Caenorhabditis elegans: one gene and its partner. The protein of the gene in region 2 purifies or fractionates together with the protein of the main gene of each other region. This does not show direct contact. Each region holds a gene or a part of one and is shown on either strand. Other genes may lie near its edges.

Evidence for each region.
Region 1: the proteins of T08B1.4 (region 2) and copb-1 fractionate together in Caenorhabditis elegans (co-fractionation; one large-scale study listed by BioGRID). This does not show direct contact.

Annotation. Positions count from the first base shown.
Region 1 is NC_003280.10:3,076,593-3,081,846, reverse strand, and holds the start of copb-1 (Coatomer subunit beta), read right to left. Parts: upstream 3,052-5,254; 5' UTR 3,042-3,051; coding exon 2,549-3,041; intron 1,460-2,548; coding exon 1,251-1,459; intron 590-1,250; coding exon 507-589; intron 1-506. Other genes in the region: Y25C1A.8 (Zinc finger Ran-binding domain-containing protein 2), read left to right, coding at 4,901-5,033, 5,080-5,179.
Region 2 is NC_003283.11:1,977,591-1,983,491, reverse strand, and holds T08B1.4 (Fungal lipase-type domain-containing protein), read right to left. Parts: upstream 4,225-5,901; 5' UTR 4,055-4,224; coding exon 3,906-4,054; intron 3,517-3,905; exon of another isoform or gene 3,516-3,516; coding exon 3,427-3,515; intron 3,289-3,426; coding exon 3,233-3,288; intron 3,188-3,232; coding exon 3,044-3,187; exon of another isoform or gene 2,424-3,043; coding exon 1,950-2,423; intron 1,043-1,949; coding exon 926-1,042; 3' UTR 751-925; downstream 1-750. Other genes in the region: T08B1.1 (Major facilitator superfamily (MFS) profile domain-containing protein), read left to right, coding at 1-157, 204-419, 548-704.

The DNA of each region.
Region 1 (5,254 bases), on a different chromosome or scaffold from region 2:
CACAAAAATTGCAAAATTTTGGAGGTTTTGGAGGTCTCAAAACTGCAATTATCTGATTTTTCGCCTATTTTTTTTTGACAAAAATCGCGGAATTTTCAAGATTTCGGGGTCTAAAGACGGTAATTTTCTAACTTTTTATCTTTTTTTTTTTCAGAAAAACGCGAAATTTTCACGGTTTTGGGGCTTTTGGCGTCTAAAACTCGATTTTTTTGAGAATTTTGATAGGTTTTTCAAGAAAAAATAAAGATTTAATTATTTTTCAGCTTATTAACGAAAAAATTGCACAATTTCCAGGTTTTGGAGCATTTTTTTCGAAAAAAAAAAACTCAACATTTTTCATTTTTTCAGGCTATTTTTCGAGAAAATCGCTGAATTTTTAAGGTTTTGGGGTCTAAAAATCGTAATTTTCCAGTTTTTTCGCTAAAATCGCACAATTTTTATGGTGTTGGCGATTTTTTGTCCATTTTTTCCAGGAAAATCCGTCATTTTTCCAAGATTTTCCTCACCTAACGGCTGGTGATGATGACTGAAGAAGATTGTAGACACATCTGATGAATCGGGAAGCCTCGTTTGGATTATTGTGGCAAACCTGAAAGAAAATTGGAGTTTTTGGATGATTTCGGCCATTTTTTTTCAGTTTTTTCGGTTAAAATTGGAGGAAAATCATATTTTTCGATAAATTTATCGTATTTTCGTTGAAAAAACCAATTTTTAGTTAATTTTAAAATTAAAAATCGATTTTCACACATTTTTATAGTGAAATTTCTAGATTTTCACGATTTTTCTGAGATTTTTGCTTAAAAGTTCATATTTTCATTCAATTTTCATAAAAAGCGACGTTTTAAATGAAAATTCTCCGTTTTTTTAAAACAAAAATAGCCTGTTTAACAAGTTTTTCTCAAAAAATCGATATTTTCAATCAATTTTCTTGAAAATCGCCGTTTTTAATGTAAATTCTCCATTTTTCAACGAAAAAACGCCATTTTTATAGCTTTTTTACTCTAAAATTCACATTTTCAGTTAATTTTCATAAAAAAAGTGCCGTTTTTAATGGAAATTCTCCGTTTTTTAACAAAAAAAAAAACCCCATTTTTACAGGGTTTTGTCAGATTTTTCCTTAAAAAACCGCAATTTTCTTGAAAATCGCCGTTTTTAATGAAAATTCTTCGATTTTCAACGAAAAAAACCCCATTTTTACGGGTTTTTTCTCAAAAAATCGATATTTTCAGTCAATTTTCCACAGAATGCACCTTATAAATGAGTTCAACAATAACGAGCTGCAATATATCTCCAAAAGATCCGACTTGATCGATACATCCCGATAAATAGTCAAGAGCACGAGCTTGATCTACGTGAAGGAGCATCATAAAAGCGTTACGCTTGCACGAAGCATCTTGCTCCTGTTCAAGGTATTCTGTGACGAGCTCCGGTGCGTCTGGGATCAGGAATTCAAAGTTTTCTGGAAAAAAAGCGGGATTTTTGGATTAAACGGGGAAAAAATGATCAAAAAATGCGAAAAAATCACCTAATTTTAGCTAAAATCATTAATTTTGGTCAATTTTCCGGTCCCGAAGTTGGTTTTTTCTCAAATTTTCACCTTTTATTGCATATTTCCATTGATTTTTCGTTAATTAAGGTGCATTTCAAGACCAAACTCGCATTTTTAGCTGAAAAATACGATTTTTCCTGGTTTTTTTGCAGAAAATATGACATTTTTAGCTGGAAATCTGCAAGTTTTTCAGGTTTTTCCCTGAAAAATTCGATTTTTCTGCTTAAAATAACGAAATTTTACGTATTTTTAGCTTAAAACATCAAAAAGTCGAATTTTTTTTCCATCTTCCAGCTTAATAATCGATTTTTGGCAACAAAAATCAGACAAAATGCTCATTTTTCAGCTGAATATTGGCATTTTTGCCGTTTTTCAGCGAAAAATAGTCAGAATTTCGTTGGAAATGTGATTTTTCTTGAAAAATCATGAAAAATCGTATTTTTCAGCAAAAAAACTGAAAAAAAAACCCCAAATTTTAGCTGAAAATGGGATTTTTGCCATTTTTGGCTGACAAAATCGCATTTTCAGCTAAAAATGTGTTTTTTGGCATAAAAATTGTAAAAAATCGTATTTTTCAGCTCAAAAAACATGAGAAATCGCAATTTTCACCAAAAAAAACTGAAGAAACCTTCAAATTTCGGCTAAAAATGCGATTTTTGCCATTTTTGGCTGAAAAATTCGCCAATTTTCAGCTAATAAAGGGATTTTTTCGCAAAAAATCGCAAATTTCACCGAAAATGAGCCTAGAAAATCGCATTTTGGAGCAAAAAATCAAAAATCTTAAGAAACCCTCAAATTTCGGCTAAAAATGCGATTTTAGCCGTTCTTGGCTGAAAAATTCGCCAATTTTCAGCTAAAAATGCGATTTTTTGCAATAAATGTACCTTTTATCAACTAAATAACGTAAAATATGCAATAAAAGGTGAAAATTCTTGGAAAAAAGTCATTTTTCGCATTTTCAAGCCCATTTCAGGCCTAAATAAGCCCAAAAAAACTCACTATAAATAGTGAAAATCGCGCAGACAGCGTTACGACGAACATACGAGTGCCGATGCTCCAAACAAGCTCTAATCGCCGGCATAAGCGGCTCGAGAAGCTCGGGCTCACGGAGTTTGCACAAAAACCGAAGGGTCGAACCGCGAACGAACTCATTCGGGTGTTGAAGGTCTTTTCGGTAGGCATCGCACACCAGAATCATCTCGTGGAGCAGCTTTCCATTGGAATCCGTCTTCGGAACACATTCCCAGAAGATCAAGAGCACTTTTTTAAGGGTGTGCTCATTGGATGGAAGACAGAAGCGGATGACGTACATTAGCATGCTCTGCGACGTTTTTTCTCCGTTTAAAATCATGTAAATGAGCTTTTTGAGCGCCTCAATTCGCTCTTTATCGCCTCCTTTCTCGAATTTTTCCTTCAATTGAGCTTCTGATGGGAGCTCAGCGTCACTGGGCACGTGGATGAGTGTGTAGCATGGTTGCTCTCCGGAGCTCATTGTGGAGGAGCTGGAAATTCGGGTTTTTTGTGGGGAAAAGAAAGAAAAAAGTAGAGAAAGTTCACGTTTTAAAAAAAAATTTGTGAAAAAATTGAATTTTCCAGCTAAATCGCATTTTTCTGTGAAAAATCATCGAAAATCATCGAAAAACGCCAGAAAATGAATAAAAATCGTCAAAATACGCTGGAAAACCCCCGAAAATCGCCTTTAAGCATGAAAAATGCCCAAAAACGTCAGAAAATGGATAAAAATCATCAAAAAACGCTGTAAATGACAAGAAAATCACTCTGAAGCATGAAAAATGCTCAAAAACATCAGAAAAATCAAAAACATCAGAAAAATTGAATTTTTGACCATTTTTAACCCTAAAACTCTTCGAAATCCAGCTGAAAACCCGATTTTTTAGTCAAAAATTCCGTTTTTTGGCGTAAAAATCGGAAAATCCCGGCTTTTAACCTAAAAATTAGGTGTTTACTGAAAATTTCCAAATTTTCGGCTAACAATCCCCATTTTCAATCGATTTTTTCCATTTTTCACTGAAAAAATCAATTTTTTAGCTTAAAAATCGAAAAATATCGGTTTTTAAGCTAAAAAATCAGATTTTTACTGAAAATTTCCAAATTTTCGGCTAAAAATCCCCATTTTCAATCGATTTTTTCCATTTTTCACTGAAAAAATCAATTTTTTAGCTTAAAAATCGAAAAATATCGGTTTTTAAGCTAAAAAAATCAGATTTTTACTGAAAATTTCCAAATTTTCGGCTAAAAATCCCCATTTTCAATCGATTTTTTCCATTTTTTCAGTAAAAAATGCCAAATTTTTTACTAAAAATGCAAATTTTCTGACTGTTCTTGTAAAAAAATTGAAAAAATTCAATTTTTTGGACAATTGTATGCAAAATTCGCCTTTCCCTCGGTTTTTTTTTGTGGTAAAACCCCGCGAAAATTCGCTTTTTTTGCCTTAAAACTTAATTTTTAATGGAAAAAAAAACGCGAAAAGTTGCAAAAATCCACAAAAAATGCGATTTTTGTTAGTTTTAGCTGAAAAAAATTGCATTTTTCAGCTAGAAATCTGAAAAATCACACAAATTGTTGCTAATAATGCAATTTTTGCCAGTTTTGGCTGAAAAAATTGCATTTTTCAGAAAAAAATACTGAGAAAACCACCAAAATTCTGCTGATAATGGGATTTTTTGTCGTTTTTGCCTGAAAAAATCGCATTTTTCAGCAAAAACTGTAACTTTTTCTGCAAAAAACACAGAAAATCGAATTTCTAATGGAAAAAAATCGCAAAAATCCACAGAAAACTACGGAAAAAGTTGCGAAACTTGATTTTTCACAAAATTCTCTCATTTCGCCTGGTTTTTATTGATTTTTTGACAGAAATCTAGGCTTTAAAGCTGTAAAACCCAATTTTCAACGACAAATTGATTTAAATTGACCTAATTCAACGCCACGTCACTTTTCACTCTTTCTACCTGTTTTTTATCGATTTTTGCCGCTTTTTCGACTGAAATATAGCTTTAAAAGCTTCAAAAATCAATTTTTAACCTCAAAAACCCACGAAAAAACGAAAAAATCCGCTGAAAACCGGCAAAAATCCACGTAAATCGCCGGAAAAAGATTGGAATCTAGATTTCTCGCACAGTGACGTGGTTCTCGCCATCCACCGTACCCCGTGACACAGCGGCGGGCAAATCGTGGCGAGACCCGGCCGCATTTTGAAATGTGATAATTTACACGGAAATCGACACAAAAAGCTTAAGTTCTCTCGGTTTTTCGTGTTTTTTTCACGAATTCCTAGTGATTTTTTATTTTTTATTCAAAAAAACGCAATAAAAACCCGATTTCAGTCAGTAAATGTCGTCGAAATACGACGATGATCGAGAACAAAAGCGTCGAGCGCTGAAAGACGGTGAATGGGCGTGTGTCGACTCGAAATGTGCCAAAGTAAACGAAGAATCACTTCTTGTATGTGATGAATATGGAAAACGTGAGGTTTTCGACGATTTTTCACCCCAAAAATTATCGATTTTCAGCGAAACCGCGCGCGAAAAGCAAAATTGGCAAGGAGCTGGGCAAGGAGCAGGCGGAAAAATCGAAAGGACTATTTGCAGCTGAAGATTGGGTTTGTTCAAAGTAAGATTTTGATTTTTACCGAAAAATTGGAAATTTTCAGTAAAAACCTAGTTTTTAAGCTAAAAAACCGGGATT
Region 2 (5,901 bases):
GAACCTGTACCTATGACTCAAAGGCTGTGAATATTCTGGTTATCGTTACCACTATGATCAATGACTGTATTTTCTGGATTAATATTGTGCAGATTACCACTCAAAGATACCCGACTGTGATTAGATGTGTTGCTTTCGGATTTTTGCACTCATTCAGGTCAGTTACTAAACTTTTCAATACTCTGAAAACAATATAATTTCAGGCACATCGGAGCGATCATTGGATTCCTGATCCTAAAGCCACTTCTCACTTCCACCTGGCCTGTTGGAGCATTTGTGATTCCTGAAGCAATGATAGTTCTGACCATTCTAGTCGGTTTCTTCTTCCAGCCTGAGACCAAAGGAAAGGCGTTGATGGATCAAATGGTGGAGGCTAACTATGGACGACTGGAAAACGAATTGCCAAGAGCTTTGATGAGGTAAGATTATGAAGAGATTTTCGAAATTCGGAGATCGGAGATTTGTAAAGTTTTCTTTGTTTTATAATGTAACTCATAATTTTTAACATTTTCTGACTTGATTCTGCAAGGTTGCTTTGATTTTTCAGACTTGCCGCTGGTCACCGTGTAGATCAAAGTGAGACGCGTCAACAGCACCGAAAAGATATGGAATCCGCCAAAGCTGCAGAGCTCATGGGAAAGAAGGTGTCGAGTCCGTGGGTTTTCAAGGAAAAGGACAGTGGGCCAAATGTGAAGGAAGACTGATTTGAGGACGGATAGGAAGCAAGTATTTATCAAATTTCTACTTTCTTTTAATTATAGTTTCTCTTATTTTTTGGAAAGTCTATATAAAAATTATGTAAATAATAACTCATCGAATTTTTATGCAATATGCACTTCAATATACACGTCGTCAAATAAACAGAATTTGGGGGAAATTGAGATTTTCGTAATGGGGCTGGCAAGGTGGATACTAAGCATTGAAATTAATCCAAACCAATGGTTCTTGTGAGCAAATTGAGCCGCTTCACAACATTTTCAAAAACTGTTGGTTTTCCTTCGGGAAGTAGATCATCGCATCCGGTTTTTCCATATGGTGGTACCTGGAAAATTAATCAGAAATGATGCACAACTTTTTTCAGGATAAGATGGTTTTATTTAAAATAACTTAAAGCTTCTTACACATTTCTAAGAATTAAAATTCAAAATCTCATTTAAAAACAGTTGTTGAAAATCTTTGACTAAAATTTTTAGACATAAAATTTTTCCGTAAAACAATTAATAATTTTTTAATAGAGTTTCCGGTTTTCCAAAAAAAAAAAAACAAATTTTAAAAACTATTTCAAAGCCCAAGTTGTGAGTTTTTAAAATTCAATTTAAAATTTAATTAATTTATTACGACAGTAAGATATCGTGAGGTAAATTAAAATTTTTAAGGTAATTTTTCGCTAAAAAAATCTAAAATTCCATACATTCTCAAAAAATGACACACAGCTGGCAAAAAAAAAGTCGCAACATTAACTTTATCTACGTCACATCTATTTTGACACCTGATCAGGACATATGTGTGCCTGGTTGCAAGAGGAGGAGAGGTTGAACTCTTACAAAGTGCAAAATGTCAAAACGTGTGATAAGATCTTACCACTAGGTTGAACGCCTACGTGCCTACATCATGTCTGGTTGCCTACGCGCCTATAATGTGTCTGCCTACTTACATGCCTACCTCATTTATATCTTCTTAATTTCGAAATCATTCCTGCATACCTTCGTGGATAGCTGATGCCTGCTTGCTAAAGTTCCTACCTAACGCCTACCTAATGCCTGGTTACCTATGTACGCGCTTATATAAAACCTGCTAGCATGCCTACCAAATGCCTAATTACAGCATAAACTCGGTTGTTTCGGTATTAAATTTACGCTTTCCTTTTTTTCAAAAATTGTCGTTAATTTCAAAATGTTTCGTACTAAACAAAAACCTAATAAACCTTTTAAAAAATAACTCTCCCTTACCTTGACTCCAAAATAATGTCGATGATCCCAGGTGTACGTATCAGATTGATCAACAAAAAACTTGATTCTATCCGAGCATCCAAAATCTTCATTCTTCGGAGCCCCTAGGCACTCGACATAATGTGCTCCAGCGCTCATCTCGTCCGGATACCAAATCTCCGTTCCATGATGATAATAATCCTGGTGCTCTGCGTGACACGGCTTTGCTCCACCTTCGTGCTCCGAGATGAATGTCTGATTCTTGTGACACGCTGGCATATGTGGAACGATGTCTCGTCGGAAGACCACTCGATAAGTGTTCGGGAGAATCGCGTCAAAGTTGCGAGCGAATTGCACATTTCCGACACGTGGCTGGCCGAAGGTGTAGACTTTAATTTGAGAGCCAGATCGGAAGCCTTGTTTTGCGGTACGGGCGGCTGCGAGAGAAGCAAGAGCTCCACCGAGGGAGTGACCGGTGAAGGTGATATCGAAGTTCTGGAATTTTTTTTGTAAAATAGAGAAAATCAATAATCCAAAATGACCGAATATCATAATAAAATATTCCAAAAAATTTTAGATTTTTCATAATTTCTGGTCGAAGTTTTGGCAAATTGCCGAAATTCGGAAAAATATGAGTTTTTGAGGAAATCCAAAGCTTCATCGCATGTTCCGACCCCTACAATGTTCTAATCCAAATAATTAAAACAAATTAACAGTATAAAAATTGTAGAAAAAAAAATTTTTTTTGGTCGACTTCCAAAATTATGAGTGGCAAAAACGGAGTAATTGTCACTTTTTGACAGTAAATAAAAAATTTGCAAAAATTGTTTGAAACGTTTTATTGTGATATTAGGTCATTTTGGGACCAAAGGAGTGGTTTTTAACGATTTCTCCACTGGCGCTACTCCACCTTTAATAAATTCTGAAAACCGGCGATTTTGGCAATTAACGATTTTTGAAATATTCGGCAATCGACAATATTGACTATTGCCGGTTTTCAAAATATCTACTTGCAATTTCGAATCATGAAAATTTGTCCGAATTTCCGAATATACGAGAGCACATAATTAAATAGAACTAATTGAAATGCGAAATAATTTTTTAAAAAAACTGACCGCCCATCTTGGATTCGTAATGACTTTCTCAATTTCCGGCCAAAGTACCAAATGCGCATTTAGGAAATATCTATTGACTTCTCCCATGTCAAAGAAATCAATTCCGGTTCCGACGGACTGCCATCCTTCTAGGAATAGTTGAGACTGAAAATTAAAAAAACTGTTGTAAGTTTTTCAAAATTCACATACCTTAGATCGTGTTCCTCGGAACACCACAATAATTCGTCGTGCATTTTCGGAGACGACTGGAAAAATTATTTAGATAAAGTCCCAAAGAAAGTTTTTCGCAAAAACGTTATTCCTATCTGCCTGGAGGGTTAGTCAAAGTTCAAAAATTGGCAGGAACGTAGGTATTAATAAAAAATGTGCAATAGTGCACCTACCTGTAAACGACGCACAGGTACTATCCAAGTGATCGCAACTCTTTTGCTCGATATTTTCAATATGAAAATTTTCTCCGTTCCCGAAGGCTCTGAAATTATTTTGTTTCGTTTCTTTTATAGTTTATTTTTAAACTCTGTCTCAAAAGTAACCTCGACAAAAATTGAAATTTTTACCCCTGGACCGTACCTTTTTAACAAAATTTCTGAAAGGTTCTATAACATGCCGCATTCTCAAAAATGTTCCTATATTTTTCCAAAAGCTTCTTGGATTTTTTCTAGTAATTTCCAGAAATTTCGGATTAATTTAGAAACGTTCCAGACGTTTATGAAATTTTTCGATTTTTTCTTAAGTTTTTAAAAATTGAAAAATGTAATTTCCCGCCAAAATGGAGGTGATGACGCAGTTAAGAATATATGATTTAAATTTATAAAAAGCTATAATATGTCTAAATTCACTAGTGGCCGAGTAAAAAACCTACTTGTTAATACAAGAAACATGTCGTTCCCCATACGCTGCTGCTGCCAGTTTTACAAGTCTTCTGGCTTCTGCATCGTCGTAACCGGTCTGTTTCCCAAGTGGAATTGATACCGAAAGGAGCGGTAAGAGGAGAAGGAGCAAAGATCGCATCCTAGAAAAAAAAATGGTTAGGTAATGGTTGTTTTGGGTGTATTTAATATAAGAATTGACACATGTGCAAAATTGTGCGCTTGAGGTCAATACACCATATATTTTGGCGCGCTGGTATTTTTTTTAACTAGAAAAATCAATTTAACTAATTTAATGTTTGAATTTGGAACCAGTCAATTTTAAAACACACAAATCTAGTTAATTTGCCCTCGGATATATCTATTAGAAATTTTTGAAACACTTGTAATTATGCCTGAAAATCATATGTTCTATTATAGCTAAAAAATCTTGAATATTTATTGCAATTTGATTGTTAATTTCAGAAAAAAATAAAAACATCGGAAAAAGTAATTCTCCGGTCAGAAAAATGTATTTAACGTTTTGAAAAATAAGAACGTTTCAATGAAAATGCTCGCAGAGCAGATATTTCGCGCTCCTATATATTTATTCAAAAATGTTTATAAGCAGAAAAACATTTTTGAATAAATATATAGGAGCGCGAAAAACAAGATCAAATAAATGAGGAAGTGAGTCATCATCACTAAAAATCGACTAACAATTAGAAATCGGAGGAGGAGAAACTGGTTGGTGTTGATCTTTTATCAAAACATTGACAAAGAAAAGTTCGTGATTTTCGAAATAGCCTGCGGCTTTGATTTTCGTACATTGTAGTTCGTGACAGTTAATCTGTGGGGAATTGGTGTTTTGCATAAATTTACAAAAAAATCAGAACAATGAACGTTCGCAAAATCATGTGTTTTATATAGTTTTACTCAAATTTTAATATTAAAAATGCAACTTCAAATTGTAAGAAAAAAGTGAAAAATCTCACGGGGTTCTGGCCTTCCTCATTGAATTTTTCGCGCTCCATTGGCAATCGCCTGCCGGACAACGCGTGGAAAAGTCGTTTACTCCACACGGACAAATACATTTAGTTTTACAACTAAAAACGAGCCGCGACGCGACACGCAACGCGCTGTAAATCTACCCCAGATATGGCTGAGCCAAAATGGCCTAGTTCGGCAAACTCTTTCATTTTAATTTATGATGAAAGCCAGAAATCTGAAATCTTTAAATCTAAACCGTTAAATCTTAATGCAAAAATACAACAAGCCAAGATTTGGTCGGAGTCGGTTGAGATTTTAACTTTTTATGTATGTTGCTTACGTGCCTACCTAATTATTTAAACTTTGCGATCGCATGTAAATGTACAAGTATTGTGACATTAGGTAACAGTAAGCAGGCAGACAGACAGGCAAATGTACATACTATATGGATAGTATACATAAGAATGAAAAAAAACCTAGATTATTCAAACTTAATTTTTAATAAGGAATATAGACTATATTCAAAGGCGCATGCTTTTTTCGAGACCGAAAGTAATGTTGCCGAACTTCAAAAGTGAAATTATTCACCTTTTTGACGTTTCTTTCAAACAAAATATCAAATAAAAAATCTAATACTCTGCCTTGATATTAAGCATTTAGAAACAGTACGAAAATCCATGAATATTCTAATTCGAAAACACACACACAAAAAACCTGTAAAAATGACTGTAAAAAGGTGAAAAAACATGCCTAAAATGCATGTATACCAACACATTTTTGTGTATGCGTGTCTTTCTTGACGAGAACCCGGAGAGAAGATGGGAAACCGGTTGTTGTGTCACCTTGGATGAGAACGACGATTTTTTTCGATGTGGGGGATTGGGACACACACACAAATGGTTGAGTGGACACAAATGGTCATTGAATCGAATCGAGTCAAGGATCGTTTAGGGTACTTCAATGAATCAGGAAGGTCACTTGAAAAGTGCTAAAACTTATTACCAGCAATTTTCGGATTGC